Oreochromis niloticus: one gene and its partner. The protein of the gene in region 2 purifies or fractionates together with the protein of the main gene of each other region. This does not show direct contact. Links are inferred from orthologs where the notes say so. Each region holds a gene or a part of one and is shown on either strand. Other genes may lie near its edges.

The links.
Region 1: the proteins of mafa (region 2) and usp5 purify together in Homo sapiens (affinity purification with western blotting; 3 studies listed by BioGRID, with this or other methods). This does not show direct contact. The link is inferred for Oreochromis niloticus from reciprocal best matches to the Homo sapiens genes MAF and USP5.

The regions. Positions count from the first base shown.
Region 1 is NC_031976.2:23,486,988-23,503,251, reverse strand, and holds the start of usp5 (ubiquitin carboxyl-terminal hydrolase 5), read right to left. Parts: upstream 6,701-16,264; 5' UTR 6,670-6,700; coding exon 6,562-6,669; intron 6,002-6,561; coding exon 5,873-6,001; intron 5,773-5,872; coding exon 5,706-5,772; intron 5,599-5,705; coding exon 5,471-5,598; intron 4,264-5,470; coding exon 4,118-4,263; intron 3,810-4,117; coding exon 3,625-3,809; intron 3,510-3,624; coding exon 3,415-3,509; intron 1,123-3,414; coding exon 929-1,122; intron 711-928; coding exon 639-710; intron 1-638. Other genes in the region: p3h3 (prolyl 3-hydroxylase 3), read left to right, coding at 7,403-7,697, 8,990-9,174, 9,403-9,561, 10,834-11,026, 11,109-11,240, 11,345-11,487, 11,702-11,791, 11,883-11,935 and 6 more. UniProt on the Homo sapiens protein: Deubiquitinating enzyme that participates in a wide range of cellular processes by specifically cleaving isopeptide bonds between ubiquitin and substrate proteins or ubiquitin itself.
Region 2 is NC_031965.2:23,843,641-23,860,089, forward strand, and holds the start of mafa (transcription factor Maf), read right to left. Parts: upstream 8,657-16,449; 5' UTR 7,846-8,656; coding exon 6,878-7,845; intron 1-6,877.

The DNA of each region.
Region 1 (16,264 bases), on a different chromosome or scaffold from region 2:
TGCGCAGCTACTGAAAAGCAGAGATTGTTTAGAATAAAGTAGATATGAGTTTAATGAAAACAAGAAAACAATAAAATTAGATAGCAAGTAGACTTAATCTTATTATATCAAACTGTTGATAAAGGGTCAAGTTACATGAGCTGCGTCGACCTTCTGTTTTCACAATAATGGATTTTCTTTAAAAGCAGGCTCTTTAGTTGATTTCCTGCTGTGCTACTGAAACAACAGCAAACAGGTGTCGATGTAAGTCTGTCTAAAAATAGCACCTTTCAATAGAGAAAGGCAGTATTTACACATTAAAAGACAATTATCACACTTGAAAATGCAGCTGCCAGGAAAGCGCACAACTGGGTTCGTTGCTGACAGCTGGCACACTGTAAATGTGCCTGTGTATATTTATGCAGATGGCTTATTTGATTTTACAGTGTGTGACACCAATATCAGGAAGCCATATGTGTGTATGTAAATACATGTGCATGAAAACTAAGGTAGCACGAAAACACGTCTAACATTTTAAAAAGAGCCGCTTTCACTCTCCTGCAGTACAAATGAGGGGTGTTTTTGGACATTTAATAATTATACAAAAGCTTGTAGTTTAAAATTTAAAGGAATTTAAAGGAAATTTAAAGGAAACTCACACTTGGGTTTTGAAGTCCTGGGTTGGGTCGCTCGGTGCTTCATCAATTATCTTGTCGATATTAGACACGTACCTGTGAGGTATGGACAGAAAAGCTGGAAGGAAATTCTTTGGATTCATCTTAAATGTTAAAGCAAAGTATCAGACAAATTTTCACCTTTTAGGTGAATATTGACTAAAAAGCAACATTTTTAATTTCAGTTTGCCATAAGAAATAACATGAGACACACAGCTGGATGGGGACTGTAAAAAAAAAAAAAAAAAAAAAAAAAAAAAAAGGAGGTTACTGACTTGCTCTGGAAGTCTGGGATGGTGAAGAGCACTTGCATGACAGAATTGAGGTAGCAGCTGTTTCCCAGGTTCTTCATGCCAGTCAGGCCGGGGCCAAACAGGGGGCGCAGGGTGGTCCCCGACTCCTGGATCACCTCCCACTCTCCCACACGCTGATTCACAGCAATCTCCAGCTCTGTCATTGTCCTCTCAGTCTGAAAGCAGAAAAGCAAATGCAGTAAGTATGGTGGCTGCAATCACACTACGTGGACTGTGTGACTGTATCTGGCTTCAGGACTTTTCAGGCAGAGCTCAGTTAATCTGAGTGGTTTAGAAAGTGGGGACTGCACTGTTTGTGAATGAAACATTGTGTAATCTCGGTTTACACCATGTGGAGGAACACTTCTGTGGCCTAAATACTGAACTGTTAGCTGAGGAATACATTCATATTACTTGCCAAGGCCAGCAGCACCTGCTGTTGCTGTATGAATTCAGTTTGAATCACTACACCGACTGCTCCATCAGTTAACACAGAGGCCATCCAAATGACTATGAATTTCATTTCATGTCATTATTTATTTAAAAGGGACAATGCAATTTAACATAGTTCTAATGTGAAGCAAGAAACTGATGTGCTGCACAGAGTTTAGAGCTCTTGCTAATTTTCAGTCAAATTCAAAATTCAAAATAAATTTTACAAGACTCTATGCAGTCCAATTAAAAACTGAGCATACCCTTTCTGCTTCCATAGTAATTAAGAGGGTTTAATTGATTAACTGATTATCAGTAACAGTAAAAGATTATCAGTGACCACTATAAAATCAGAGGATTTGACCATTTGTAGGCAATCACCCCAAAGTCAGGCCACATAATGCTCAGAGACCCCAAAAAACCCAAATGCTACATCTCAGACTGTACAAGCCTCAGTGTGTTAAACATTACATTTAATTACAGCATGATTAGAAAATGTATGGTTTGTTTTTAAAGGTTTCCAGGAGAAAAAAAAAAAATCTTGCTTAAAAAACACAGCACCATGGCTTAGGTTTGCAAAGTTGCATCTGAACTAGTCACAAGAGTTCTGAGACAATTTCCTTTGGATAGATCAGACCAAAGAGGACATGTTTGACTGTAATACACAGCACCACATACTGAGAAAACCAAACAGCATAAACATCTATCAAGCTCGGTAAAGGGTTGATGATTTGTATTTGTTTAGCAGCCATACAACCTGGGCCCCTCACAATCATCAAGTCAACCATGACCTTCTCTGTTACCAAAGTATTCTAGAGTCAAATATGAGGCAATCTGACCAACAAGTCAAGTTTGGCTGAAACTGAGTATTGCAACAGACCAGTGACACAGTTTAATATTGTTTGGTTTATGATGCAGAACTTTAACCTAAGATGATTTCCTCATAAGAAAGACAATTGTGTAATCCAAACTTGTATTTAGATACTTATTCATTGCTCCCCAAAATCTAATTTTGATTGTTCGCATGTTTATTTTTTTCCTCATTGAGCCAGTCTTATTCCACTTTAAGCATGTTATAGCACATCTTTAATATTTGTGCTGCCATAACTTCTCAACTTAAGATAAACAAAGCATCTTATCTTACAAGTAAAGGGAAGATATGTTGCGTAAGAAAGCAAAATTCTTTGCAAGAGCCTTAATACAAAACATTAAAGAAAAGTTTTTATATTAAGAAAACTGATAAACGAGATTAGGCAGTATGACTCATTAATGACACCAGGCAGGCAGACAAACTATAATATACCACTAACTGCTGTATTCTTTCTTCTGCTTTACTATCCCACAATTCTTTCACCCCCTCGGCTGTGCAACATCATTAGGTGTGTACAGAAAAACATCAGCAAGAAAAGAAATAACATTAGAGTACACAGTGAGAGCTACAGACATCTTAGACAAGACAGCTGTGTAGACTGCACTCTGCATAAGAGGGGAAGCAGGTGGCCAAGAAATAAAAGACAGCAGGGATTCAAAGAGGAAACAGGTGTTGCAGAAAATGAAACAAGGGGAAGTAGGTCAATATGATAAGCAGTAATAATTATATTAAAGAACTATTATATTAAGAACAACATTATATGTAGTTAACAAAAAACAAAAGCAATAATAAATGAAAACCAGATCAGAAGGGGGTGAGATATTCAATAAGAGAAGTATCTTTTTTAAGTGTTTTCAGCTCAGTAGCACTGCAACGTTTTTAGACCTTAATTTTTGCAACACCATAGAATCAATGGCTATCTAACAGACAAAAGTAGGCACCACCATTATTTGGATGTCTGCAAAGGGGGAAAAAAGTCCCATATCCCTGTCTAAATTTACAACACTCCAATCATAAAGCAGCAGACTGATCAATACTTCTATGTACAAGACCTTGATCTAATGCATAACATTAAAAACCAGGAAGAAATCTGACAGCTCTCAACTTGTATTGGTCGATAAGTGATTAAATCCAAAATAAAATCAGCAAGAAAAACAAAACTTACTTTCTCCATGGTCATCATGTCAATGCCAAAGTGAGCCAGGTGCTCTGGTAACTTTGAATCGAGCACCATGTCGTCCTCATCATAGGAATACACATCTGGAAAAACAAAACAGCACAGGGACTGAACTTCAGACAAATGCAAAATCTCTGTAATTTATTTTTAAAGTTAATTAACACAAACCAACTATTATCAAATCGTTTTTTCGCTTACCAGCGCCATCAGGAGTGATGGTACCGAGTTTGACAGCAAGTGGGTAACCGGTCTCCTGGTAGTGGAGAAGAGCATGGTTGTTGCCTCCAGAGCCATCAAAGTACCTGCGGCCACACAGAACTTTGCCATCCGTCAGGTTCATCCAAATGTTCTCCTGGAGGTCACACACCTCGCACCGCCAGCCACTACGACAGACAGAAGAGAAAGCCTCCAATAAACACACTTTCTGATATAAAGATAACAGCCCTTTATAGAGCTTAAATGGCAACATTCTCTCTTTTACAATAGATTACTGAAAAGGGAACCGGATCAATATTGAATCAGTGGATTCTAAATGTAGAAAGGCAGTATCTTGACTAAAATAGATACACCTGTGGCAACTCTATAAGATTTATTGTACATATAGACAGCCAGCACATCTTTTATCAAATTTGAAGAGAATATGTGAGCTGCTGCATGGCAAAATTATTAAATAATAGAGCTTTGACCTCACCTGGGAGGGATCTTGACTCCATTGTCTAGCTGTTTAAGGTCAGCGGCATGCTTCGACTCCTGTCTCACCTCTCCATCCCACTGCTGAACTTGTAAGGTATGAGACACTGAGTCAGCTGCCATGATACCCGCCATAGACAGGGACACCTAGGTGGACAGCAGGGGGACACATTTCAAGAAAATCTCATTTGAAGTCCACTTGCTCTTAAGCACAGAGATTTTTCTTTAAAGAAAAAGAAAACCCCAAACAGACTGGAAGGAGGCAAAAGGTTAGATGATGATAAAGAGATGATATAGTAGCACTATGCATCCTCTCCACACAAACAAACAGGCAAGTAACATGAAACAACACCAGAAATTATTCCACCATGGTAACAAATACAGCTCAAAACAATAAACCAAACATTACTCAAAGAATACACATCTTACCACCTACAATCTAACTAAGTGATTTGATAAAACTTCAAATACTTGATAACTGACAATAGAAAAAGCATGAACTCTGGAAAATGTTGGCAGTCAGGTCTGGACATTGTCTGAAGTGAGGCAGGCAACTTGAGATAATCCACTCCGGTCGTGTTCTCACTACTGGAAATACTCTTGTGAGGTTTAGGCGAGATAGCTGCCTAGGCAAAGCATGTGGAGGGCAGGACACATGCCCACTGTCACTGTGAATTCTCTGGACAATTATTTGCACTATTTACACATAGGAGCATCCAGAGATCTCACACTTTGCACTAGGGAGCTGACGTGTTCAAAAACTGTTTATCATTTGATCTGACTGTGTCACAGTTGAGTGCTCATATCCAACTCAACTGGGAAACAAGAGAAAATGCCTTGTTTATCAACCATAAATCATAATTTACGCCTATATGCATGCCACCCAAGTTCTTGTATTAAAGGACTGTTGAAAAAGTTCACTTGTTTGCTAAGATAATGTAAGGCTGTGTGATTAAGGTAAAAATCATAATAATGATTATTTTGGTCAAAATCTTGGTGCAGTATTATTTAACAAAATTATAGCAAGACTTTTAAAAGATTATGGATTTATTCAACTTTCAAAAACAAATCAGTGGATTTCCTTTCATTTTAACTATAATTTGATGGGAAAAAAAATACATGTGAATGTAAATAACAAAGAAAAGGGATGGGTTTCCTGTTTCATGCCACACTGTGAAACAGGATGTGGCATTAAAATTATTTTGTATCAGTTATCTTGTTTGATAATCGAGCATATAGTTATGAGATTTCCAACATTTGAAATGAATAAAGCACATCTTATCTTACCATCTACTGCCATACTGACAACCTGGGAAAAACCTGAACAGACTAGAAAACAAACATGACCTCTCACCCGCTCTCTTACGACATCAGGCATGGTGGTCAGGTCCTCGGATGTCACCTCCTGCCTGTCTGGCAAAATCACCACTTTTACATCCTCCTCATATTGCTCCTGCTCTACATCAAACCCTCCTTCAATACCTGAAAAGAACAAAAACAACAAGGGTGGAAGCATATGTCCCTCTTGGAAAAAGTGATACCCATAGAGTTAGCCTTTTTTCTAAATACATGTATGCTTATGCACTCACCTATAGCCAGTCTGGTGGGCTTTTTCTTAGGTGGGTGTCCAGAGCCAGAGTTACCATCATCTTCCTTCTGTTGGCATTGAGAGTAGGTGAGAGGACATGTAAAAGGATGGTGCTGATAGAGATAAATGTAATTTAGATCACCGTATTTTAACCATAAAGTGTCCCACCTTGGCCTTACGAGTCCGGGTGATGTGCAAATAAGCCCTCTGACCAGAACGAGCATGGTGCCTGTCAACATACTGACTCCCCAAACCCAGGAAACTGTTCATGCACACATACAGGCCTCCTTCACTCTCCTGTAAAGGAAGCACAGACAGTGTTTAATGCTTATTGTCCTCTCTGTATATCTCGCACCACTTGCAGTAGACTTGCAAATTAAAGTTGGATGCGATCTATAAGTCTTAAGCATGTCACAGCATCAGTTGCTACAATGAAAGTAACTAGCACTCCTGTCAATTTGCTAGCCTTTGCTGTTAAACAATGCTCGTTTATTTTAAAGTCCACAGAAAAATAGTGTCTCTTAAGTGTGACACACTCTGAGCAAAGGTAAATTTACATCATCAATAGTCCTGCAACAGTTGTGACTGACTTAGTTTGACAGCTTACTCAGTTAAACCCACAGAGCTAGCTAACAAGCTATAACCGCTAAGTTTCCATTACATTGCATTATTAGCTTAGCTTGAGGCTAACCTGCTAGTTATGTGAAATGGGGAAAACGTAGAAAAACAGACCATTAAAGTGAGACAGCACTGGCAAAACGTTACGTTAGTGTGAATCACGAAAGAGGAAGGGAATACAACACAGCAACACTGTTTATCAACTGAAGTTTTGATTTACAAAAGGAAAAATGGCTCACCGGTGAGGAAAATGACAAGGCGCATTCGTCTTTGTGGACGCGGTCCCCGGGTTTCGGGACCCGAATTGTGGACAAAACCGACATCAAAAGCTCACCAACGTCCGCCATGACGAAGCTCGCTAGTTCCACCTTGCAGCGGGACACCTGCTCTGAGTTTGGACACCCAGCCTCTTGATACCCTGGCTCGGAAGAGTGTCCGTTGTCTGGCCCGTGTTGTGCTGCCTGTGTTTGCCTGAATGAATCATGAGACGCTGCCTTGTGTTGAGGGAAGGCCGTAAAGAAGTCCCGCACACAGAGTGGCTGCTGCTCATTACCGTAATCCACAGGATATAGGTACGCGCTCTCATTTTTATAATGCAAAAACGACTATTTTTTACTTGGTATGTCCACTGCCGAGTCGCCTCATGAAAATGTGAATGTGCGTTAATGCTCTATTAATTATAAGAAATGATTAATTTCTTCAAAATATAACCAACAACTATTAGTTTCACTTCAAACTACCAAAGCTGTTTTACAGTTATATTTACGGTAACGTCGGTTGCGTACTTCGGGTTCCTCTCGGATGAGATACAAATACTGTAGCTTCAAACATAACAAGTTTAATCAAGTCAAAACTCATCAATACCTCAAACCCAATTTGACAAACTCAAGCAAACCCAACGGGAGTCGTTAATAAACGCGCAGCGTTGTATTACATGTATTAAATTCATAAAAAGTACATAAAAATACAAAAAAAGCCCCCACTTTCTTAACAGGGAGGAAACTTTGTGGGTAGTTCTCCCCTTGGAGTCCCTCCTCTGCTTCCACCTTCGCCTCCTCTGCTGGGATTGCCTGTCGGACCATGGCGCTTCAATCGGGACGTTTGACTGTATACGTGGCGTTTAATTGTGCTATTCTCGCACTGTTTAGTTTTACCTCAACGGCTTGGGCAAGAGGCAGCCCCAATGTTATGTCACTTCTCCAGCCGTATGATTTTCTGTATTACAGCGGGGTCCGCGCATATTTTAGTGGGGAGTGGGGCAAAGCTGCAGAGCTGCTGGAGAAATCCATCGCGACCAGGGAATCACTGTTCAGGGTCCGCAGGCAGTGTCATGATGACTGTATGGCAGCAGGGACAGAGGCTCTGAAGAAACTGGGTAAGCTGGGCGCTAATATAAATTATATCAGATATTCAATTACTGGTAATATGATCATCTGTCTGAACAATGCGCCTGAATGGTGCAGTAGAAGCTCATTAAATTAAACTGCATTAATAAATTAGCTATTTAACACTGGTGTAGACCAGTTTTGTCCCTGCTGACTTATATTGGCATATCAGCAAAAATTGGCCAATAAAGATCATCTGTGACACAGTTTTGGGCGAACTAAATGTTTCAAAACTGTGTAATGAAGAGTTAAAGCTAATGGAACAAAGAAATACAGACTAAGTGTCGGTGTCTGAATCAGCTGTCAGCCAGTCTTTTTATTTTATACCCTGATATTAATGTCATCAGTGCATCATGCAACATATTAGAACAGATTTTGTGAAATTCAGTTATTCTTTTAGCTTCTCACAGCTGACTTAATTACACTTGCTAGATCACAAACACACCCTCAGGGATGAAGGGCTATGTCAGGAGGGGCATCTGCTGCGAGAAATAAGGGAGCAGACATTAGTACCTTCTTCCATACAACCTGCTGAATGTTTTCAAACCTGCCAACTTTAAGGAAAAGCCAGAGGAACGACTGACCTACTCCATGAATACGTAGAGTATTCATGGATTCATGCAGACGAAATAGTGATGTGTATGCTCTGAAGAGAAGAGGAGTAGCGGTAGTAAAGGTAGATGAGTTTAAATACCTGGGATATCCAAAGCGACAAACAGTACACAAGGGAGAGGTGAAGAAGGGAATGCAGGCAGGATGGAGTGGGTGGAGACGAGTTAGAGAGGCATGGTTGAGATGGTTTGGACATACGCACAGGTGAGATAGTAGCTATATATATTGGCGGCAGCAGCAAGGTGAGAATAAAAGAGGAAGACCACAGCAGAGGTTCATAGATGTGGTGAAGGACGGCATGCAGATGGTGGATAATAGGGAAAGAGTGAGATGGAGGCAGGTGATTCATTGTGGTCAGCCCTAAAGGGAACGGCCAAAAGAAGAAGATTGGACCTATCATGTAGCCAGACAACAGCTTTGAGTCTGTGTTAATTACTAGTTGGAAACTAGATTTTATGATTTTATGAAGTTACTGGCGGCTTCACCCTTACTTCTCGGTGTCTAAATGCGTAGCTAAAAAACAATGTGACCTCAAGAGCTCAAAGAATGTGTAAGATAGGCTTTTTTGTGTTTTGTTGTAGATTGTTGGCAGTTCTAAAAATCAAAATGTATAAAATATATGCCACAGGCTGGGACCTTATCGTCTTTTCAATGGTGTGTGTGTTGTTAGACTCTGAACAGGGGACTATGTGGGACCTCTGGGCCCTGGACTGGGTGCATCAAAAAGCTGAGTGTTTGAGGTTCTGCATTGGACGCTCTGTCACACATGTTGGACAGCTTCCTGTTTCTGCTGATATAGAGTACGAGTTTGGCACTCGCAACCCTTATAACTTTCTGCAAGTCACCTACTACAAGGTAAGTCGTTCTTTACACAGCCATAAGGAGCTGCTGCATAATAAAGCTCCTAAATTGTCATTACTTCTACCAGTACTGTGTTCCAAATTGTCATTTAAAGGGAAGCACCTGTCAGTATGGTCTGCAGCCATAATTATAGTTCAGCTCACAGCTGCATAAATAATCACAGCAACACCCTTAGTGGTCTGTAACAAACTTCATTCAGTCTCTCATTTTCCTCCACATCAGCTAGAAAAGTTGCAGAGGGCGGCATCGGCAGCTCATACCTACTTTGTGGCCAACCCCTCTCACCTGGAGATGAGAAACAACATCGAGAAGTACAGACGGATGGACGGCGTGACCGACGAAGATTTCCAGGACAGAGAGAGTCACAATGAGAAACACTGGGTGAGGAGGGAAGAGTAATGGGGTATACAGTGTAAGTGGGAAGAAACTGGGTTGCACTGCTTAGAAAAATCAGTCAAATCTGAATAAATTCACTGTCTGACCCATTCAGAATGAGCTGCTCCTTCAGCATTTTGGAGCCCTCATACCTTCATAAGCACAGAGGAGAGACACATGAAATTTGTAGGTCTTAAAAAGACATTTAAAAAAACTGAAGGCTGTCTTACATCCACTCCAAATGTTGCAATTTAAAGCAAAAATCTTGTGATTACCTTAAAAAAATTATCTTAATTCAACAGAAATTCTAAAAAGCTGCTTCATTGTCATATAATCTGTAGGTGAAAATAAAGAACACTTATCTAAAGAGGCTTAATGGTTAGGTTAACAATGTTTGTCAGCACTAGTCAAACATATTGCCTTACCTTCGACCTTCTTTCACAGCCGCTAGTGTTGTTATTGTCCAATTATAAGCAGATAGCACAAAAGACCAAACTACTTATCTTTTTGAAGCACTTTAGTCCTCTGATATGAACTAATAGTTCTCAGTTTTAGTTCCTAATAAGCATAAAAGCTTTGATTCACTAGTTAAGCAGTGGAAGTGCGAGTTTTTGCACTTGCTAACTAGTTAATGATAGCCGACATGCAGACAGGTTTAAAGGCTTTGAACAAACATATCAGACATTTCTTTAACTGACTGACCCTAACTAAGCCATAACTAGTCCTCTAATAGTCCTCACTCTGATTTAAGTTCACAACTCAACAGCTGATGAAGGGCGTTCAAACAGAATGATTTTAGAGACGTCACTGTGGAGAGTCAGACGTGGCCTGAGGGACTGAATTTCTCTGTCTCACTCTCACCTTCACTTGTCTGTTTGCATGCACATGTCTCAAAAGTAAAAATGTACTTCATCATCAAACGCTAGCCTTTAGCTTTGGGTAACACTTAACAATAAGAATTGTAATAATCAGTGTGTAAACCACCTATAATTCAATAGCATCTCATCGGTATTGGTTAGTGTGTGTTTTATAAACGGTTAATCTTTTTCTCCTCCAGTAAATGTTTGTTAATGCTGCTGTAAGGATTCCTTAGAGGAGCACTGAGAATACTTTTGCACAGCAATTTTAAAATAGTTATATTTAAAAGTGTTATATTTCTTAAGCACTATGATACAAAACAATATACAACTCATTAGTTGTTGTTTTTTTAATTAGCAAGCAAATGGCGACTGTGTTATTTCCCTGTGTTAATCTCTGTCTCTGTATCACTGACTTCAGGTCCTGTATGATGCTGCACTGCAGCTCGAGGCTAACTCTGAATGGAAGCAAGCAGCAGAGAAATGGAAAGCTTGTGTGAATGAAACCCTGCAGCAGACAGAGGAGTGCAGGGTGCAGTGTGAAGTCGCTTCCCAACGGCTGCCTGAGGACAGGGGAGTTGACAGCGTTGACGGCGTGTTTGAAAAGGCAGCAGGTAAGAAGCAGGCAGAAGTTTTGAGCCAGACAGAAAGAGACCAGAAAGAGCCAGTTGTCACCAGTTTTTGTTTTCTGTCCAGCCCTCTCCCTCTCGCTGCTCTCATGCCGACAGTCATGCGTGACTCAAGTGGCCACACGACCTGGAAGGATTTCTGCTCAGGAGGACTTCCTGCCAACACAGCTTGAGCATCTGCACATCGCACAGTTTAAAGGTCTGATTTTTTAGGTCAATGTGAAGGTCACACACGTGATTTTATTATTCATCTTAAGACTGATGCACTACTTTGCCTTACTTTGCATCCTCAATTCCCGGCAGCCGGTGACATAAGCGGGGCGTTGCAGACACTTCGCTCTCTCCTGCTGTTTTACCCCTCTGACAAGGACTCCTTAGACAACCTGCAGCTCTACCATGAGACACTAGGGGGAGACACAGAGTCACAGAGCGCACAGCCTGCTCAGGTACCATTCAAACCACTCAAGGTTCATTATATTAAAATTACCACAGTGGTGTCAAAACGTAAAAAAGTTATAAATCCAATAAAGTAATCCAAGTAATTTAAATGAGAAATACATTTTTTCACTTCTCTTGTTCAGTTATTTCAAGCATACTTAGGTTTCAAATTCATCTTTAAAGTCATATTTAAGCACAGGTTTGTGTGTTTTTGTCACACAGGAGATTGTCAGATACATCAGCCACTCCTTGCAGGAGAAGAAGCTGTTGTATTTTGGTATGGAGAACCTCGACTTCACTTTCACAGATCCAGTAAGTACTGATGCCAAATGTGCAGTGCAGTGACAAGAGAGCCAGCTATGAAGCATTTCTTTGCTGAGGTTATTCATCACCCTCTGTGCAGGATCTTTGGACTCCAGAAGATGTTGTACCTGAATCATTGAGGGAGATCTGGAGGTAAAAAAAGAAAGAAAATGAAAAAGAAATCAAAGGTGAATCTGTCACTAGTGGAAACTAATGAAACAGAAAACTCCATCTGTATCTTTTGTGTTTTAATGTTAGAGCTGAAAAAGAGAAAATGAATGAGAAAATGAAAGTGGGCGAGCAGCAAGAGGAAGTGGATGACAGTGGGTTTTTTGCAGGTAAGAAACAGTATGTTGGGGAGTCAGTATGTTGCAGGTAATTTCCTTATGCTATGTGTTTTCAGCCTTTTCTACCTAGGGCGTCATGGGAGGAGCTCCTCGTCACCTTAATTGCACTTCAGGTAGCTTAAAACAAGGAAACACAGGTGTATCCATTACAGATATGCCTGTTTATGTGGCATGTAACCATTAACATCCATCTATCCATTAACAAGTGAAATAATGAATAACATCCACACGTACCTATAGGCTTTGTAGGGTTGTCAGTAAGGATCAACAGATTATAACAGCTCACACATCTTATGTATGTGAAAATCTAACACATTAGAGAATAGAGGATCATTTATTTGCAGTGTGTCACAGTTTCTCGGCATCTCTGTTAAAGATGACTTTACCATGACACACTAGAAGACTATTATTAAATAATGACTAAAATTAGCAGTAATCTACATATCCTATGAAATACGTGTCAATGAATCATTCTACTCTTTATATTACACTGCTTAGACTTTTCTAAAATATAAAACAGGGAAGGAGTCACTTATAGTCAAGTCAAGATTAGCCTGTCTGCTGCTATGACCATCAGGGAAAGTCACCAAAAAGTCACAAGCTTTGTGGGTTTTGTTGAATATTATGGAAACTATTACAAAGAAATTGAAGCGGCAGTTTATACCGAGAAATAGAGTTTTGTCTTATTTGCTTGAATAATTTATCAATTTCACACAGAGGAAAACGAGGCGTGAAGTGACACAGTTTCTATGGATCTACTGAAACCTGAAGACTAAACAGACCAGCGCCTGAAATAAAAGTAAAATCAAAGAGAATATATTCAGTTTGTTGGGATCTGGTCGCCCCATTAAATACAGTCATTATAGAAACAAATATTTCCCATTTGGCAGCTTCGGCGACTTCATATCAGAAAAAACACAGTCGTACCACCATCTTCTGCTTAAAATAAGAAGTGACCCATTTACTGTCTTATCCTTTCTTATTTGTCCTCTCTGCAGGTGGTCCGGTGCCTCAGGTGGGCGTGACGATCACAATGGACGACGAGATGCTGAACGGCACCAATCGAGTCGTCCTGGATGGAGTCATGACGGAGAAGGAGTGTGACAGAATACTGCAGTTAGCATCAGTAAGTTCAATCAGTTTTTTTTAACGCACGCATGTGAAAACCCCTAACATACACATTTACGTGGTCTCCATAGGTGGCAGGATCTCTTGGAGATGGCTATCGAGGACGGCGGTCTCCACACACTCCTCATGAGACGTTTGAAGGTCTGACTGTCCTCAGGGCGGTGAAGGTGGGTGGAAATGACATAACTGAAGCAGGTCTACGAGATGCTCTCAGCAGCATCTCGTGACCCTCACTGCTGCTTCTTCCTCAGTTGGCTCAGGAAGGCCTGGTGAACCAATCAGATGCCAAGCTGTTACATGAGCTGGGTGATAGAGTGCGAACCGTGCTGCACTCCTACTTCAGGAGCCCCTCAGGACTTTTCATCACTTTTACACACCTGGTCTGTCGCACTGCTGTCACAGGTAAAACCAACAGTATTCAATACTGGGATAAATGGAACAGGTCCTTTAATGTGTAACTAAATCATCCACTCTATTCTTACTTTATTACTTAAAGTTAAATGTGTTATTTTGTTCTTGTTCTGTTTTTTCTTTTTAAATCAGACGATCAGAAGGGCAGGCTCGACCTCTCTCACCCCGTCCACGTTGACAACTGTCTCCTCGAGCCGGAAACCAAGCAGTGTTGGAAGGAACCACCAGCTTTCACACACAGAGACCTCAGGTACTGAAAAAAACATCTCTTCGTGGATTAATAATAAATTTGGGCTCACACTTTCTCCACAAATAATTTTAGAAGATGTTCTCAAGCCATTTTATTCTAGCAAATATCCACGAACAGAATGTTTTAATATTCCTTTACTGGTAAAATGTCATTTAGATATCATCAGCATATAGCAGTGAGAGAATGGTACATGTCATCGTTGCCAAAAGAAAGCTGTCACAAACCGAACAAAGATCTCTGTGATCCAGAGACTCGTGTCTGCTTAGAATACAGGTTTCTGAGAAACATCTTTAGCTGCTTGAGGAATGTGACATTTTCAAACCATTATATAGAAGATGTGAACATCGACGTTGTTTCTCCATTTCACAGCCCTAAGCTACATTTGGGAGTGTTACAATGGACAGCTAAAACACTTGTATCTGCAACTAATTTTGCTGTTTAAACAATGATGTATCCCAAGATACTGGTGCTCAAAAAACTGATTACAGAAAAACATCTTGCTGTTTCTAAAGAGGACAGGTGGGAACATTTCTTAGATGTTGCTGATTTTATATGGAATTACCTAAAAAGCATTAGTTTACACTGCAAGTCTTAAACAGTGTTTCAGGGGAACAATTGTGGCAAATATCAAAACAACCAGAGCACCTGTCGTCACTGGTAAATAGTTTTGTTCTGTTGTTATGGGGAAATAATGACACCTTAGAGCTACATGAACTGATGGAGGTGGAGGGAGAGCAGAGAAAACACTGCTCTACAACACAATTGCTCCATAAATAAATGCAACTGAAAACTGAACGTGACACTTAAAGTTGCTGGTTTTAGTTTTTATTATATGTGAAGAGGTCAGTCTAAGGAAAAAAACGTTAATAATTGAAAACTGAAATGGCTTAGTTTCAGTGTTTCAATGTTTCTGCTTTGACCAAAATGTTCATCCTCTTTGGGTGTAATCGTGCCAATTCTATCGCCAAAGGAAGGAATTATGTAATTGTTGCATGTTCTGTTTGTCTGTCTGTCTGTTTGTTTGTTAGCACTTTAGTGTCCACAGTTTTCAAGATATCATTTTCAGATTTTATGAGATGGTTATGAGGTGGATGGAGGTGGGCCGTCTGAGGTTTCCTTTTATGAAATGTAATTGTCAGTTTTAACATTTTGTGACATTATTGAATTGAATTTTAGTCAGTGGCAGATCACAACAACAGTAACTTCAAGATGCTTTATATTGAAAGTTAAAGACCCTACAACAAAACAGAGAAACCCCAACAAGATGACCCCCTAGGAGCAAGCACTTGGTGACAGCAGGAAGGAAAAACTCCCTTTTAACAGGAAGAAACCTTCAGAGGAACCAGCCTGTTACAGATTGAGGCTTTCTATTTCACCTTTTAAAACTTTAACCCTGGATTTGACCTTCCTTGTGGCAGGAAATCTGCAATGCTGCAAAGTAAAGTTACATTTCTTTTTATTTCAGGGGTAATAACTTTATTTTATCTTTTGAGACATTTTTTTTATCTAAATGTTATATTATTTTTGCATGATTGATTAAACCAGAGGTTCCCAAAGTGTGGGGCCCGCCCCCTAAGGGGGGATGCAGAGCCAAAGCAAAGCAGGAGATGAAGCATCGCCAAATATGTTTCCAAACCAACTTCCTTCCAAGCCAAAGACTAGAAAATATGGTGAAGCATATCTTCCCTTTGAAGCATATCTTCCCTGCACAAGTGCCGAGGTAGGTTTCCCCTGCAGAATTGGTTTTCCTGCGTCGGGAGCACGCGCTGGGCTCTCCAAATCACGGACAAACAGTATCGGATTTTTAGTTCACAAACACTTCTTGTAATGACTAACTACTCCTGGGGAGCAAACATTTTTCTTGTAAAACAAAGGGGGGCCTAGCAAAAAAAGTTTGGGAACCACTGGATTAAACTGACATTTCTCCATGGCACAGAATCTCACCTAGACACAACATCTTCACCTGCCTGTTTCTTCATTGTATAGTATACGATGAAGAAATGTAAAGTGGCCATAGATGGATGAAGACATGAGAAGTTTTAGTGAGAAATTAAAACGGTGTACGTAGGTGTGAAATCTAAGAATAAATAAATGGGATTAAAATGTGCAGTTTAAATGGAATTAGCAGGACTACATAACAGTGTAATAACAGACTGTAATAATCAAATGACTGTGTGTGCATTCATGCTCAGATTTCAGCCTAATTCTTACACAGCAGGTTACTTTTACGACTCTCTTTCTCCCAGCGCCATCCTCTACCTGAATGACGACTTTGATGGCGGAGAGTTGTTCTTCACTAACAGAGACGCCAAGACAGTAACGGTAAGTCATTTTAATCTTGTTATT
Region 2 (16,449 bases):
GTAATTTGCCTGTACGCTACTGTGAGGGAAATTTTAAATCACTGGATTTTCAAATAAATGCCACATAGAACCGACACAAAAGCAGCGAGGCAGCTGTTGTGATGACAGATGTTGAGAAAAAACCAAAAAAACCCAAAAGGCTCCTAATGGTGCTAAACTGTTATCAGCAGCCAATCAGCTGACAAATCATATCACCTGTTAGATACAGCAGGATGTCTTAGGTTTGCTTTATTTCACCTGTCATTCAAGGTGAAAGTACTTAAAGTCTAAAAATATATATGCTGAGATATTACTTGGACTTACCTAAACAACAAAATTGCACTTACATCTATGCTCCATGTGTATCGCTCTGCATGCAGCTCCCCATTTCATACTGATCTGCTTTAAAAGTTACACCTGAGGAACCAAAGGAATGGACTTAAATGTTTAGAAAACAATAACATTTGTGGAGCGCAGAGGGATTTCACTCATGTAACTAGATTTTTAGTGGGAGAAATTTCACAAACATATGCCCGTTTGAAAGACTGTTTGCCTCACTTTTTCTTTTACTCTGTTAGCGCTTTAGCACTGCTGCATTTATTTAAGTCACAGGCTCTTGGTTTGGGTCCATTTACAGACATATAAAATTACCCCAGCAAATCCCTACCACCTCATTACCAACATAACCTGCAGCCAGTCTTTCAAGGACGACTCTCTAATGACACCACATGTATCAGCTTAATGTCTATTTGAAGCAAGCTTTCTGCCACAAAAGGAAGTAAGAAATGTACAGACATCATAGACAGCAAAGCGTAAAGTGTAAGTATTGATGCCTGGCATTTATTTATTCCCAGTGAACTGCACTATTGCACCATTCCTCTCTTATACGATTGTACTATTCCTCTCTTCTACACTATGAAGTGAGAATAATGTTCCTTTTTTTGTTTCTGTACTTAGACAGACCATTCACAGATGTGGCTGCCACCTGGTTGTGTTGAGACACCTGACTGCTGCTGCTGCTGCTGCTGCACATCCTCTCTCCCATCTTCTGTCGACAGTGGTGTTTATCCACAACCAAACTCATTTAGAACATTTTCTAACTGTTAACAAAAAGCAATATAACTGTGGCCCTGAGATGTCCTCTGAACATGTTTAGGAATATGAGAGATGCTCGGAGATGCTTCAGCTCTAAAAATGTGCAAAAATGAAAATAATAAAAATGAAAAACAGAGGCAAATTTCATGCAAAGGTAGGATGAACAAATGTGAAAATTCAAAGAACAAAAAAGAAACACAGATCTTATTCCATTTATTTTGGATTCATCATCACACTAAGACAGATTAGAAAAATATGTTTTAAAAAAAAAACACAGTTGAAACTTGGCACTTTTGATATCTTGTAAGTCTTTATTAACCCCAGTTGTGTAAAATGTGACAGAAAGCCACAACTTAACACACCCACTCTGAGTCAGTTGATATTTAAGACAGGAACAATGAATTTACCCCAAGTACGACTGGCTGCTTTGTTTTGCAACACCCACAATAAAAGGCTTGAATGAAGTGGGTGTGAGAACAAGATTGAATGTTCACCATGTGCCACAAATATTACCAGACTCAGAGTGACTCGGAGGCAGCTCGGCTAAGTGGGGTTAAGTAAATAAATAAATAAATAAATAAATAAATACCTGAAAATAATCAGAATGAATGGCAGCGAGAAAATAAACCTGGCCAGCTTAAGCCAAGTGCCACTGCCCTTCACAGCATATTTAATATACAGTTGTCCTGCACCCTGTATTTAAAAGCCTTTTGTGTGTGTGCTATTATAATATAGCATTATTATATAATTTTTTCACAGTCAAAGATATATTATTTGTCTTCTTGCAATTCAAAAAAAAGTAAAGATATGAGTGAAATACAGGATGTTGATAATTAAAAAATATATAGCAGGGAGTAGTGCTGAATTTACTGGATACTATGCCATGCTGGATGTGTGTGTACATCTCATTCATTGGGTTCTGGGCAGAGGAAATGAGCATGAGTTCCCTAGGGCAGGGATTACTCTAATGACTTTGAGAGCAGCCTTGTGCGCTGTAACTTTTGACCTCTGCTCATCCTCTTTGACAAAAAACAAAACAAGAGAAATACACATGCATGCACACACACGGATTCGTGCATCTACACCTACAAACACATACACGACATACCGTGCGAAACAGCAAGACAAAAAGATTTGCTCCAATTGTTCCTCTGGCACTTTCTAAAGCCTGTAAGAATTCAAACCCCCAACCGGCTCTTATTTTTGGTTCTGTCAACTGGCGTACTGGTACTTAACTGAACATTGTGCTGCATCTTATGCTGTCAACCTGCATAGCGCCAGCGTTCCACATGAGTGCCTCGCTGGAAGATCGATCATTTTATCACTTACATAACCGCTGCGTACGGGCACCACAGATATAAGAGGAAACATCTTTTTACAAATTAGATCTGTCTTCGCAAAAAATGCCATTTAGCTCGGGGACTCGAGTGTTTGAGTCACACACAGAGAGAAGCACAACTAACGCTATGCTCTGAAACAAAAGACTGGAGCAAATCTATTCTTTTGTTTTCGTATTGTAAGTTGGTGAGTGTGTTTTCATGTCTAGTATGCGTGCGGTGACTGTGTTTTAGTGGATGGACATTAGAGGTCTAAATGATCTGTTCCAATGAGGAAACAGTCAAACTAAATAAGTTTAAGAGTCTTATAAAGAAGCCCTGAGCAAAAAAACAAATGTTCATTTTTTACATGCCACTCAAAACACATCAAAAAAAACCACTGCACTGAAAGCATGGTTTAAAGAGAGGCAGAAAAGAAGAGACTCTTAAGTAAAGAGGAAATTATTTCCTCTTTGAAATGGCAAATACAAAAACATGTCTTTTAAATGAGGGGAAAAGCAAATGATCATCCTCTCTAAAGTCATTTCATACATTGTTGTGGTTAATGTGACATATCAGACTATAACAGTACTACTGCTTTAGATGTAATTAGATAAATTGAAGAAGAAGGAGAACGGCTTGGCTGTAAATTGCATGGTGTGTACATGCTAAGACCCAACACTGGCACAGCTGCACAGAGCTACACTCACGATTTATCATCTTTACATCGCAGGAGCCACTGGCCCACACCACTATTAATCATCAGCAAAATCATTTAATTCAGCCCAAGCCTGACTATTGTCTCAGCTTCTCCCCTCACTCTGGGCAAATCAGCCACCACAGCAGCAGTGCACACCTCAGATCTTGGGTTAAAACTGTCTTTCTCCCTCTCCCTCTCCCTCTCTCTCCTTTTTGATGAGCTGTGTAGCACATCATCATTGGCAGATGGCGCAGAAGCTTGCTTTTTTGCAAATTTAACAAGTATGAAATTTATAATGGCAAAGACTCCGAACAGTTGAGCACTTACTGCTTTAACACACTGACAGTGCGGTTCATTTTTATAAAAGGCGTTCTTTGTCTGTATCCGTTGGACACTGATAATCTGTGGCTAAACTGCAAAACAGAAGACAAATCCAGATTGAATCTTTCTTCAGAAACTGTAGCGTTTCCTCAAAGTGTATTTTGACACGTTGGTCTTCCTGTTTCAACAAACAAATTGTTCCGGATGCCCACAAGCCTATTCCTTGTGAACTCAGCAAAGAACTTTTCCTCTTGTCTTTCTGGAAAGTGGCAAGTTTAGTTCGTGTCCAAGTGTAGTCCAAAAGTTATGTTAAAAAGAATTCAGCGTATGATGTAAAAACACCAAATGAAATGCAAGATTGGGTACAGCAGAGCGGAGACTCTTCTGTTAACCACAGTGGCTGACATAAATTGGCACCTTCTCCAGCGCCCCCTCACATGCCTGACATGGCTGTGCCCTCGGTGCACCCCGTCTCCCACAGCATGTCTGCTTCAGGCCAACGTCCAGACCCACTGACAAGCAGGATAGAGCTGGATAAAACTGAGAAATCCAAACGATGACATGCTAATGACTGTAAGTGCAGAGTGTCCGAGAAACACGGTAAGCGGGCACAACAGATAAGTAAGCAAAGAATGTGTAAAAAAGGGTAAGTGAAGGGTACAAATATGGAGCATGCATCATGCACAGCCACAAGAAACTCACAGCGTTGTCATTATTACATACTGCCACTCAAGGAAACACACACACACTTTCAGATTTACACCTAAGTCCAAATACACGCCTGCATACTCCCACATGAAGCAGCACTTAAGACAAGCACACACATATGCACAAATAGAAATGCTCACACATGACCAGACAGTTCACAATAACATTAACAGGATTTATCAGACATAAAATCAAACTGGACTTCTGCAAATAAAAATTAGGATGAAATTCATGGACTGAGATGCAAACACAATATTTCTAACACATAATTATTTGATTATAACGATAGAATCACGTTGGAGTTTAAATGAAAAATGTCAGCAGGTAAGGTCTGTTTCTCCCTTTTAGGATCATCATCATAGGAAATAATAAATACGTATATTTGTATTTGGTGTTAATTCATGGATTGTGAAGAAACATGCGTCTCTATCATTCAACAGACTGGCAAAGCAGAAATGTTTAATTAGCTGCATGCCACTGTGATTTATTGTTATTATTATTAGGCTTCATTAAGTGATTGCAACAATGAACTTGCATCTCTACATTTTACATTTTTTTTACACTGCCAGCCTGAATTGCTTTCCTTAAATGTTCAACTCATTCCTGTTTCTGATTCTTCCAAAATGGTCTAAGAAGCTCTTACTAAATTAATTCTGGCAGAAACACCTTAAAAAGAGGGTAACAAGACCCCTACAAGCAGTGTTAAAATGTGGGGCAGTAATATGGAGATGACATGTTTTCTAGTTTCATTTCTGTGTGTTTCACTCACAAACAACAACGAGTCTCAGGACAACTCAAAAGAAAAGTGAGAAACTTATTGAAGACAATTACATACATTTATTGCATATCATTTAATTGTATGAAATGAGAAACGAGCACATATGAACATCACATATGGTTAGTGAATGAAATAATTTTGCACAGCAAAATATATATATATAAGTATATATATACTATATGTAAGATGAAAGATTAATTAACATATTTTCAAAATTTATTGGCGAATGGTACTCCCCCCTTTTATACATGCAGGGTGACACTCCCTGACGATCTAATAATGTCCGGACATTATAGATTAGAAAAATTACTTATTGCTTTGCAAATTTTTAGGTTTATTTAAGAGAAAACAACAGTATACCCTGAACTGATGCTAATATCTCCAAATGGTACGACTAGGTCGTAAACGAATGTCAGATCTATCTTCTTGGGAGATGGAAAGCTAATTTTCCCTTAACTTCCACATGACATTTTTTAGTGCATTTCTGTTCAGAATAAGTCAGTTCAATCAAGAAACACATTTTCAAAAGCACAGTAATTTACTAAGACTCCGGTTGTGAGAATTATCTTCTCCAAATATACTTTTTTTAAATATAGTTATTTAAAATATAATAATAAAATGTGTGGCGGACACCAGATCTCTCACACTTCGGTTTATAGCACATGCTGCAAAAGCGCTGTTTTATGCACTGCACAATACTGCTCACTGTATAAATTGGAGCCGAGCCAATTTCTCTTAATCAGTGTGAAAAATAGTTTTGGGCAGCAATCTTAATATTAATTATCCTAGAAACTATATGACATAAGCTGTAGCACATGATATCTTTTGCATCATAGATTATAAAACTTTTTCTTTAAATTACGCTTTAAAAATTATTCAGATGATGACAAATGCACAATGGAATATATTTAAATAACAACATAGGCTTAGCAACAGACTAAACTTCCAGGAAATTGACTGGTAATTTCCTTCATAGTGAAGTCTTTTCTTTTTCCCCTCGCACCAGGGTCCCCGCCGACAAACTTCCACCAGGAATGCCAGCGCATTCACTGCAGTCTTATGACAGCCGATGGTGGTGCACTTCAACACAGCTGAAATGCACCACTACAGGGGGTGGGAAGTCCTGTCACTTTTTTGTCTCTGTCCCAAAAAAGTGAGGAGGCCTAAATGAAGTATGAGTGCCATGCTGGAGTCATCCGACAAAAAAGGACATCTTCAAGCACAGAAAGAAAAACCATACATGTCCAGCATGCAGGGCAGTTCAATAACACATCTCTTTAAAACAATGAAGAGTTTGTAATGGATACAGTCTTTTGTTGCTCCACACAATAACAAGCAAACGCATGAGATGAGGTGGCGTCAAACGGCAGGCTCGCAATCCTCCAAGTTTGGCAGACAAAAAAATAAAAAATAAAAAATAAAAAAGGAGAAAGAAAGAAAAAAAAAAGGAAAAACATACTGTCGATGGATGCACTTTTGATAAGAATCTGTACACTGAATCAAAAGTAAAATGATGAAAAAGGGCCAAGTTGATGAACTTCAAAGGAGTATACTTAGTGCTTGCATGCACACTTGGTATACTGCGGCATAAAGTTGGATCAACTTTCAAATATCAAACACTGCAAATCTAATGAACAGAGATGAAAAAAAAAATCTTGACAGACAAACTATGTGTAATATACAGAGTATGATAGCAAAAAGTAGAAAGTTTTCTCAATACGCCTCTTCTAGATTAAAAAAAAATGCGGATAACAAAGCCCTCCAAATATACAGCAGTGGTAGAATGGAGGGAACTTGTTTTCAAAAAAATAAATTTAATAAAAAAAAATCAAAAAGTTGATAAATTAGTTCTTGATCTAGGCATATAGTGGGATTTGCGTCAAGTAAATAATAAAAAAAAAGTTTCAGAATGAAAACTTTTTACGCGGGGTGAGTTATTCATCTGATATAGTTTTATTTCGCGATAATGTCGAAACTCACATGAAAAACTCCGGAGATGAAGGGTTGTTGTCACTGCTGGATCCATTTTCTCTGAAGCCGTTGCTGATGAGCTTCTCATACTTTTCTTTGTACGCGTCCCTCTCCCGGACCAGCCTGGAGATCTCTTGCTTTAGGTGCTCGACCTGCTGCATGAGTTGTGTCTTCTCTCCCTCCAGGACGTGCCGCTGCTGAACCCGCTTGAACCGGCAGGACTGAGCGTAGCCTCTGTTCTTTAGGGTCCTCCTCTTCTGTTTCAATCTGATCACCTCTTCTTTGCTGACCCCCCGTAGCTGCCGGTTGAGCTCCCGCACTGACATGGTCACCAGCTGCTCGTCTGTGAACCGCTCCTCCAAGCGCATGTGTGGGTGATTTGTCCCAGAAGTGCCGTTGGACTGGACGCCCGGTGCCTGGTGGTGGCTGCTGCTGTGGTGGTGATGGTGGTGGTGGTGGTGTTGCGCTCCGTTCTGAGCGGCTGCCGCAGCAATTACTGCCGACACCACCGCCGCGGCGGACCCCATCTCTTCCCCGGCCATGGTGCTTCCTGCTCCGGCTGCGCCAGCAAACTGCTGGCCCCTGGCATAGCCATCGAAAGACTGGAGCTGGTGACTGCTGTTGATCAGCGCCTCGACCGCGTCTTCGGGGCTGAAGCCCAGCGCCTCTGGATTCAGCTGCTGTTGATAACCGGACATCCAGTAGAAATCCTCAATGTGTGTCTTCTGCTCACTCCCCGAGCCCGGACTGGGCGCCGAGAAGCTTGGGGAAGGGGGCACCGAGCTGCAAGGCGTGCTCATCGGGGTGGAAGACAAGGATCCCCCGGCGATAAGGCGACTGCACTGGCTGATGTTGCGATCGGGCTCCACCGGCTCCTTTTTCACTTCAAACTTCATCAGATCGAAGTCATTAACATATTCCATGGCCAGGGGACTGGTGGGCAGGTCGGAGTTGCTCATTGCCAGCTCTGATGCCATCCTCTTGCTGCTGACAGTCCTCCAAATGGGGTGAAGAGCAGCTGTCAAACTGGGTTGGTTGGGAAGAACGTGAGCCAGTTTGATTTTTACGCGTTTGTCTTGAAACTGAAAAAAAAAATTAGGTTTTCAGCGTCCTTTTTGCAGCCGCGGACTTGCAGGCTTGTGAGAGTAGAGTTTCTTTGCAGAGTCTATTGCACTGACACACCAGTGCCGCGCGTACGAGTAGCGGAGTCCTTTTTCAGCATGTGAAATTCGGCGGTTTTGGATTTCAAACATTTAACACTTTACGGTGTCTTCATGAATACATTGCGCACGCGGAGAGGGAAACACACCGAAAGTCAGGGAGTAAAAGCTCACTTGCACGTTCTAAGCTGCTGTCTGGTGGGGCGATTTTTTAGTGGGATCACACAGCAGATGAGTTTAAGCATTGTAGCCGCTCTGACGTCAGGCTGGAAATGGGAAATTGACTCGGACGACGAGCCAATAGGGTCGCACACTCTAACAGCTAATTAACATATTAGTAGCCTAGAGAAACAAAACTTTTATCTACCGTCAATGGACACCAGCTGAGTGTCAGTCGGGGCATAGATCCCTTTGTTCTTATTATCGTAATTTCGATTTCAATTTTTTTATTTATTTGTTTATATATTTATTTTTTCGAAGTATGAGTTGTAAGTGGAACGAAGCAGAGCATGCATGCTCTAAATTAATTACAAAACGGAGTTGTAATGCTTGACATATAGAAAAAAAAGAGAGAAAGCAATCATAAAACAGACCTTACGTAGTTCGTGTAATCCTATAGCGTACACTGGTTATACATTTTAAGACAAAAGTCTTAATCTTGCGAACATTACCTGAAAAAAACCCCCGTCCACTTCCTAATGGCAATGTCTGATATTTGTCTGAATGTACAGCGCAATTAAAATCTAGAAACTATGTTTTACCAACTAAATATAAAACAAAAGTGGCATGTAAAAGAAGCTGCGCGGTAACTTGACAAAAAAAGGGAAAAAAATATGAAAGGCGGATTGAAGAGGTTGTCATGTTTTCGCACACCATTATAAAACTCAACACTGCCACCTTTTGGGCATGCTAGTGAAAGGGATTCCCCTCCCCATCCAGTCCACACAATTTTCGAAGAGTTGAAAGTTTAATGAAACGTATGCTGTTTGCAAAACACAAACACATATACACGGTCCGAGTGTCGTTGTTTTCTTCATTTCAGTAGGGAAAAGACATAGTACCCCAATTAAATTTCAAACAACTTACATAACAAAGTCAATTTTGTATTTTATGGAAGTAGTCATATCAGAGGAAGTGGATGCGGGTGAACCCGCTGCTCAGTGCAAACTGATATTCTGTAAAAGCCATAAAACTCACTTTATCTGAGTACTCTCTCGTACATTGCTCTTTATCTCAGTTCAGAGGTCTCCTACATTTAATTGACTTGTGTACAGCACTAACATGAGTCAGTCTTGGTAATCCAGCTTCCACTGTAAGTCCTGTCTAGTTAGGTGACTATAGTTTCTTTACCCCAGTGGACACAGCATGACCTTTTAAAGTCAGAATAAATAGTAAGGTTTGTATACAGTTTGTATACAGTGTATAGTTGAAGTCTCCTATTAATGTATAGGCAAAATGCAATTAACTAATGACTGATAGCAGCTCACTTAAAAAAAAATAAAGCAGTTTGTTAGGGAAAATAGTGATGTAAGCCACACTGTGGCCCTGTCTTACTGGCCACAAGAGTGTTGATTTCTTTTGTGGCCTATTTTGACATGGTGCTGACAAATAACCATTTCTTTCCTGTGACAAAAGCCTATAATCATAGCCTGTTTCCCACTCTCTCTCCAAGTGTATGATCTCATCTTTTCAATGATGTATATTTTTAGATTTTTGTATGCGTCCTATTTAATGATAGTTCAACTCAGTCATGTCCATTCTGCCAAAAGCTGTGGAAGATGATCTCGACAATAAACCAGATATGTTACAACCACGGGGAGTTCAACACTTGGCTATGGCTGACCAAAACTATAGTTCAGGTTATGTCTTTCAGTTTTTTTGACATAACATCCTCAGGGATTCTGACTCTGATATTCTAATCATTAAATGCAGTGGGACTTTCAAAATATATTTTATTACTTGTTGAATAAATTAGAATAAATGCAGAATAAAAGATTTTTTATAAGGCTGTGTTTTGTGTAAAAACATCATCATTACTGTTACTGAATGTTTTATTAAAGGGTAAGTGGATGTATCCATTTGTATGGCTACATATGGCTCAAATAAAATTCAAACAAAACCCTATTGTTTTCATTTCCATTCTGTTGCCTTGTCATCTGTTTGGGCTTACCTGTTCACAGGAAGGCACAGCAGCAGCCTGTTCCCTGGGGTGCAGCCACAGCGGACTGAGACTAATATACAAACGAAGGGAAAGCTCATTAGTCATGACAGAAGAAAGTGGCGAACCTAATTTAGCTGCTTTTGTGCCTTTGAAGTTATTGATGATGCAGAGCTGTGAGAGATCTACATGGAGAGAGATCAGTATATGCTGTGAAGACAACTTATCAAACTGGAAAGACAGAAGTTCATGGGATGAGATGGAACAGCAAAGCGAGGTTGACTTATAAAGATGTGAAACCATCCAGTCTCATTAAATAGGTCACCTCATTTTTTCGCTCAGGCTTTTCAGCAATTTGAAAAAAAAACCTGGAGGATTTTTGAAACCACAGCAGCCACATGAAACCGAAGAGTGCAGCTTGTTAGAATGCTGTAGTCATTAATGTTCAATGGGTTCGTTGGCTTTCCAAAGTTAAGAATTGTGAGACACGACTTAAGAAGGTTATTTGTGTATATACTCACTTTGTGTGTCACTTAAACTCATTTTATTTAATTAACACACATTTTCATTTTGAGTTGCCACAAGGGATGAATCCACATATTTGATTTGGCATGGATTTTTGCCCTTCCTGGCACAACTCTCTCTGGGATTTGTGTCCCTTCCCACTCTTGAGCTGGGGATCTTTCACAGGTTAGGTGAATGTGTTAAACACTGAATTATGGATCCACTTACATGTTATCAATTCATTTGCTTTGACTATGTTAAATTTGCTAATCTAAAATGCATCATGTAAACCGTCAAATGTGATGCATTAAACACTGTGTAGTTGTTTACAGTGTACAGTTTAAAAACGAAACAAGAAACAAACAAGAAACAAAACAAGATTATTTGTAGCTTCGGTCTGTAATGGTTTATGATCAATCTAGGGTGTTGGTCATGTTCTAATTTGATCTTCTGATCTGAGATTAGATCTGATCAGCTTAGGGCCGTGCTCCTGTGATATCTTAAGTGTTAGAGGTGTCTTTTGTTGGCAATATGTCTTTAATCCTGCAGACCTTGCTGAAGGAAATGCCCGCAATCATGGAAACAGGAATATTAGTGCAATTAAACATCATAAACATTAATATATTTACGTTAATTAGCAATATCTGCTTTATGTTCACTTGTTCGATTTTAGACAACAGACTGGTGACTTTAATATTTTTATGTTGGTTCAAAGGAAGAATATTACGTCAACATATCTAGAATATTAAAAATGGCTTTGATAAGATAAGGACTCAAATTTACTTCTCCATTACTTCTACACACATCTGTTGTGTGACTCCTTGTCTATGGTGACACATATTTTTTACAAAGTATATAGTCAGTAGTTGTTAAACCTCAGAAGACAATTTTAGCATTAACATGAATACTGTGTTTTAGGTTGGTCTTTTGCTGTTATCTGTCTGAATTTCTCTCATTCTGGTTAGCTCTAGAGGCAACGGAGTGGGAAGTTCAGAGGTCAGTAAGTTGTCTTTTGTATCTGTTAGACTTTGTGTGTGGTGGGAAGGGGCTTCCTCAGTTTCAGGCAGGGCCATCTACTCCCCCTATTTGCATTCCTTCACTTTTCTAAGCTGCTACTAACCAGAGACTGTTACTGAATCCATGTTGGCACTCATGAATACCTGGAAGCCGATAGAGCCTGCAACCATACAGGCAATTTAGCTAAAAAAAAAGTTCAGTATGACTTTACCAAACAAGAAACAAAATAAAACATAGCATTCTGGGCGTTACTTTTAACTGTAAAATGAAGAAGACAGAAAAGCAACCCATGCTTTACATCTTTACTAACGAGATGAGCTGGTTTTGCACTGCTGTAATGCAATTTCATCAACAGTTTAGTGACAGCAACAAAGCCGGAATATCAATTTTCACCCTACCAACAGAATGTGGGCACAGCCGTGTCACAATTACTTTAATCCATTAGTCAGAAGAAGGGTGAGGCCGAGAAGGGTGTGATAGAGGACAGAGAAGACAAAATAAGGTCAGGAGGAGAGCAGGGTTGTAGTCTGAGGTGGAGTTTGGTTAGCCGCTGTGACACTGGTGGAAAGTATTTCGTAGCCTACAGCTAGTGGGCTTTATGTAAGCAGAGAACTCTGGTGTCTGAACACAAGTTAGTATCAGTTCTTTGGCTTCATGGCAAAGAACCAGCAGTAAACCAGTGAATGTGTTACAGTGCTGTGAACAGCACAGTCACACATGTTTGACTGTCTTAGTGTCACACGACCCGGGGATGACACATGAGTTTTGAGGTTTTATCTCTCATATTCCATTCCCTTCCCCTCCCAGCTGAATATTTGTCAAGTTCAGTGACATGGTTGCTAATTAATACTATGTGCCCAGTAAATGTATGCTATTCTCTTCACCCCATGCAAAGTAATCGAAGAAGACTAGTCAATATTGTACAAGCGTTGGCAGAGTGGTTTGCATATTAGCCATAATTACATTCACATGAACATAATGTATTGGTTTACTGTCATGTGTAAGGTTAATGTGTATCACAATTAAATGATATATTAACTGGTGGATAGCTTTCCAGGGTTATCTCCTTCGGACATCCAATGATTTCACACGACTTGGACTTTGAACTTTCACTCTGCGTGTAAATGTGTGTGCGCCTGTGATGCTTGAGTATTTCCCTTTACTTGTGTAATTTGCTAGCATGATAGTTTTGGGACGCATCTGTTTGTGAGAGTGTGTGTTTAAGTTTTGATTGGGATAAAAGTTTCTATCCTTTCTAAGCTGCTACACTTCATATGATCATTTTTAGGCCATTGTAAGAAAGGAAGCCAGTTCTGAGTTTAATATTTTAAATTTAGAAGAAAGAACAGAAAATATGTTTACTTAATTGTTTGCATTTGCATTGTTTGCAGCCCTTACTTGTTTGTTTTTTCAATACACTGGTGAGCAATATACAATATAGCAGTTCAGTGCTGATATAGCAGGTTCGTTACCATAAAGCTACTATTTCTCAATTTCCAGTCTACAAGATTTTACGCTGCAAACATGCAATGTTCAGTTGTTGCGTTGTACAGAAGCCTCTGGAAAGTATCCAGCCTCTAACTCCTGCTGTTTATTTTCACAAATGCAAAAATGAATAAATGCACAATGAATATCAGAACACAAGAATTATTTGCTTTTGTAAGTTAAATTTTATTGTGATACCTCTTTTTACTCCTGCAATTCTCGTTGAGTTGATCATCATAGCAGAGGTAAATAATAATATGATATAATACCACCTAACGTTATACCTTTCCAATGTTATACCTCTATACAAGGGCTTCAGCTTTAGTTTAACACTTGGACATGTCCTTATTTATGTTGTTTTCCCATTCATTTGTCACCTTTTACATGGTCATTACAGTGAACCTAATGAGACTATCTCTTTATTATGTTCAACACAGTATTTGTCAAATATGCCAATACAGACTATTGACTTAGTGAAGATAAACAGTCTGCTTATGACAAACAACAGTTTGATAAGCTCCACAGAGTTTTGAGAAGGGTTCTCAAATCCTATGTGTTGTATGTTGGTACATAAAACTAATACTTCTCATATACAAAAAATGATGTGGCTTCAGGGTTATGACACATAATATTATAATGTTTAGAAAAGCAGGATCTTCATTTTATCAGTCTTGTGTGGCAGATGACCACGCAGTGATGAAATACGTCTACATATTTGTGAATGGGTGATAAGGACATTTCTTCTATTTAAATAAATACACAAAAGCAGAAACAATTCCACAAACATATTCCCAACTACATGCAGACATATACAAATGCAAAGAGAGGCACGCACTCATGCGCATGCTCAAGCCTAATGAGAGATTTTCTGACCTTTCTTTATACACCCCTGGAGAATATTGATGAATCCCCTTTTAAAAATAACTCTCGCTTGTAGGGTCATTAAATGATTTACAGTTATATCAGAAACACATAATTATTGCATTTATTATGTTGGACTGTACAGGGCTGGTCCATTGTGGTAGGAGGTGGTCCTTTTAACACACAATATGAACAATTAAAAGTTTATTCTCTGCGAGTGTACTCAGTACTTATGTTCTGCTCTGAAGGTAGCATTGGTAAAAAAAACAAAAAAGCAAAACACTTTACAGCTTTTATAGTGGTGCATTAGCTATTGTAAAACTAAACCTGTGCCCTTTATAATGGATTGTCTGATTAACTAAAAAAAGACTGTTATAAAAGAAAGAGTGCAAAGTGTCATTATGGGCTTTGCCTCGTCATATTTAACTTTTTCCATAATGTCCCATAATGTTAAAACTCATTTCAGCTATTTCTAATTGGAGGATTTGCAATGACATTTAAGCCTTTTATTGTCATACATTCCAAACCTGTAATGTGGAAACCTTCGTCACAATGAAACGTGAGTGGATGAATTTTGTCCCCTCTATTACCCATGTCAAATCAGACATAATCTAACACGGTGAGCAAAGCAACTTCAGGCGATGTCACACTTGCTGTTCTCCAATAAGACTGACTGTGACATTGAAACTGTGAGGCTGCAGCGCTCATTTCTGACCTGCAAGTACACACCATCTGCTTTAGAGAGTTACCAATATTATCAGAGTTGTTGCATGTTTAAATCCTGCAGTCTTGATCTTTTCCTAGTAATGATATCTTCTCAATTGTTAACGCCGCTAAGCTGGTTAAAAGTCATCTGACTGTGATTGTGAGCATGGCCGTTCAAATATTCCCACTGGGTGAGGCGCTTAACGTTCATTTGAGCTCTGTGTTGAGCACGGCATTAAAAACCCAACTGAAGCCCAAATGGCGATGATTTAAATGAACTCATTTGAAGAACATTTAATTACCATTGGAGCGTAATTGAATGTTTCTCTGAAGTGCTGAGCGATTCCTAATGAAATGGGAAGATACTGACGAGGCTTAGGAGGCAGGCTGAAAGTCAGGCCCGTTCTCAGCCTACAAGACTGATAAAAAGATCAGAGAAGCACCTTCTGGATAAATAAATCTATCACTGCTAAATGAGCCTAAAAAATGCACTAAACAATCCTGAGCCAAAGGCCTGCTACTCTTCAAAAGATATGTTTTAGTTCATTTGCAAACTCTATTTTAATGATTCATTTTAATGGAGATTTTAGTGTGGACATTGATGAGTGTGGACTCATATAAAAGAGGCATAGGTAAGGAGGGGGGCGATAAGATATTCACAGGGCTGTTTGGCCTGTAAATGTCTCTTCCTCTGGAGACATGTTGTTAAGCTAAGGCAACTACTGCCCCACCGTATTTGTACGTGAGAGACACAAGACGTGCAGGTAAATAATTGTCAGTCTTTATGAGTGGCAGAAGCAGAAGCAGTTTACAGACACTGAGATTGTCAGTGTCTGTAAGCATAAAGACCTCTTGAACAAAAAAAGAAAAAAAAAAAGAAATATATCTTTTAATTTCCAAAGCATAATGTCAAACAAAAATACATATATAATTTGAAAAAACACCCCAGTTGCTCCCCATACTTTCAGTTTCGTCTTCTGTCTGGGTTTTTCTTGGTAACTCTATTTGGTTGTAGTCTGTCAAAGTCCAGTTTGTTTTTGGAATGAGGGTTTAACATAAGGCAAACAGGAGCTGGTTAGTTAAATGTCGCTCTTGCTATTATAGGGTTAAATCTAGAGTATACAAGCTAGCAGTCTGTATCGTGAGAGCATTTCCTGCGCAACAATGAGTCTCTGGGCTTGTCTGACAGACACAGAGACACAGAGGGAGATAGGCAGAGAGAGCGAGCGAGCAAGAGAAAAACAGAGAGATAGAGAGATAGATCACCATTGCACAATGCGTACATTTATATCTCTTGGCAGCTAAACTGATAAAAGTTCACATTGCTTTCTTGCAATCAGCACATGATGATAATTCAGTCAATGTGGTGATTAGTGTGTCAAAGCATCAAGATTCCCTTTGCATCCTGACACGCACGCATGCACACATGCTCACACACACACACACACACACACGCACACACACACACACACGCACGCGCACACACACACGCACACGCACGCACACACACACACACACACACACACACACACACACACACACACACACACACGCACACACACACAAATGCAAGTATCTATGGATCTGTAGGTGTTTGGTATCCTGAATAAAAATACATGCATTAAATTTTTGGCTGTTTGAGCCAAATTTTACACCAAAAAGTCACATATTTAGTATTATTGCTATTGCAA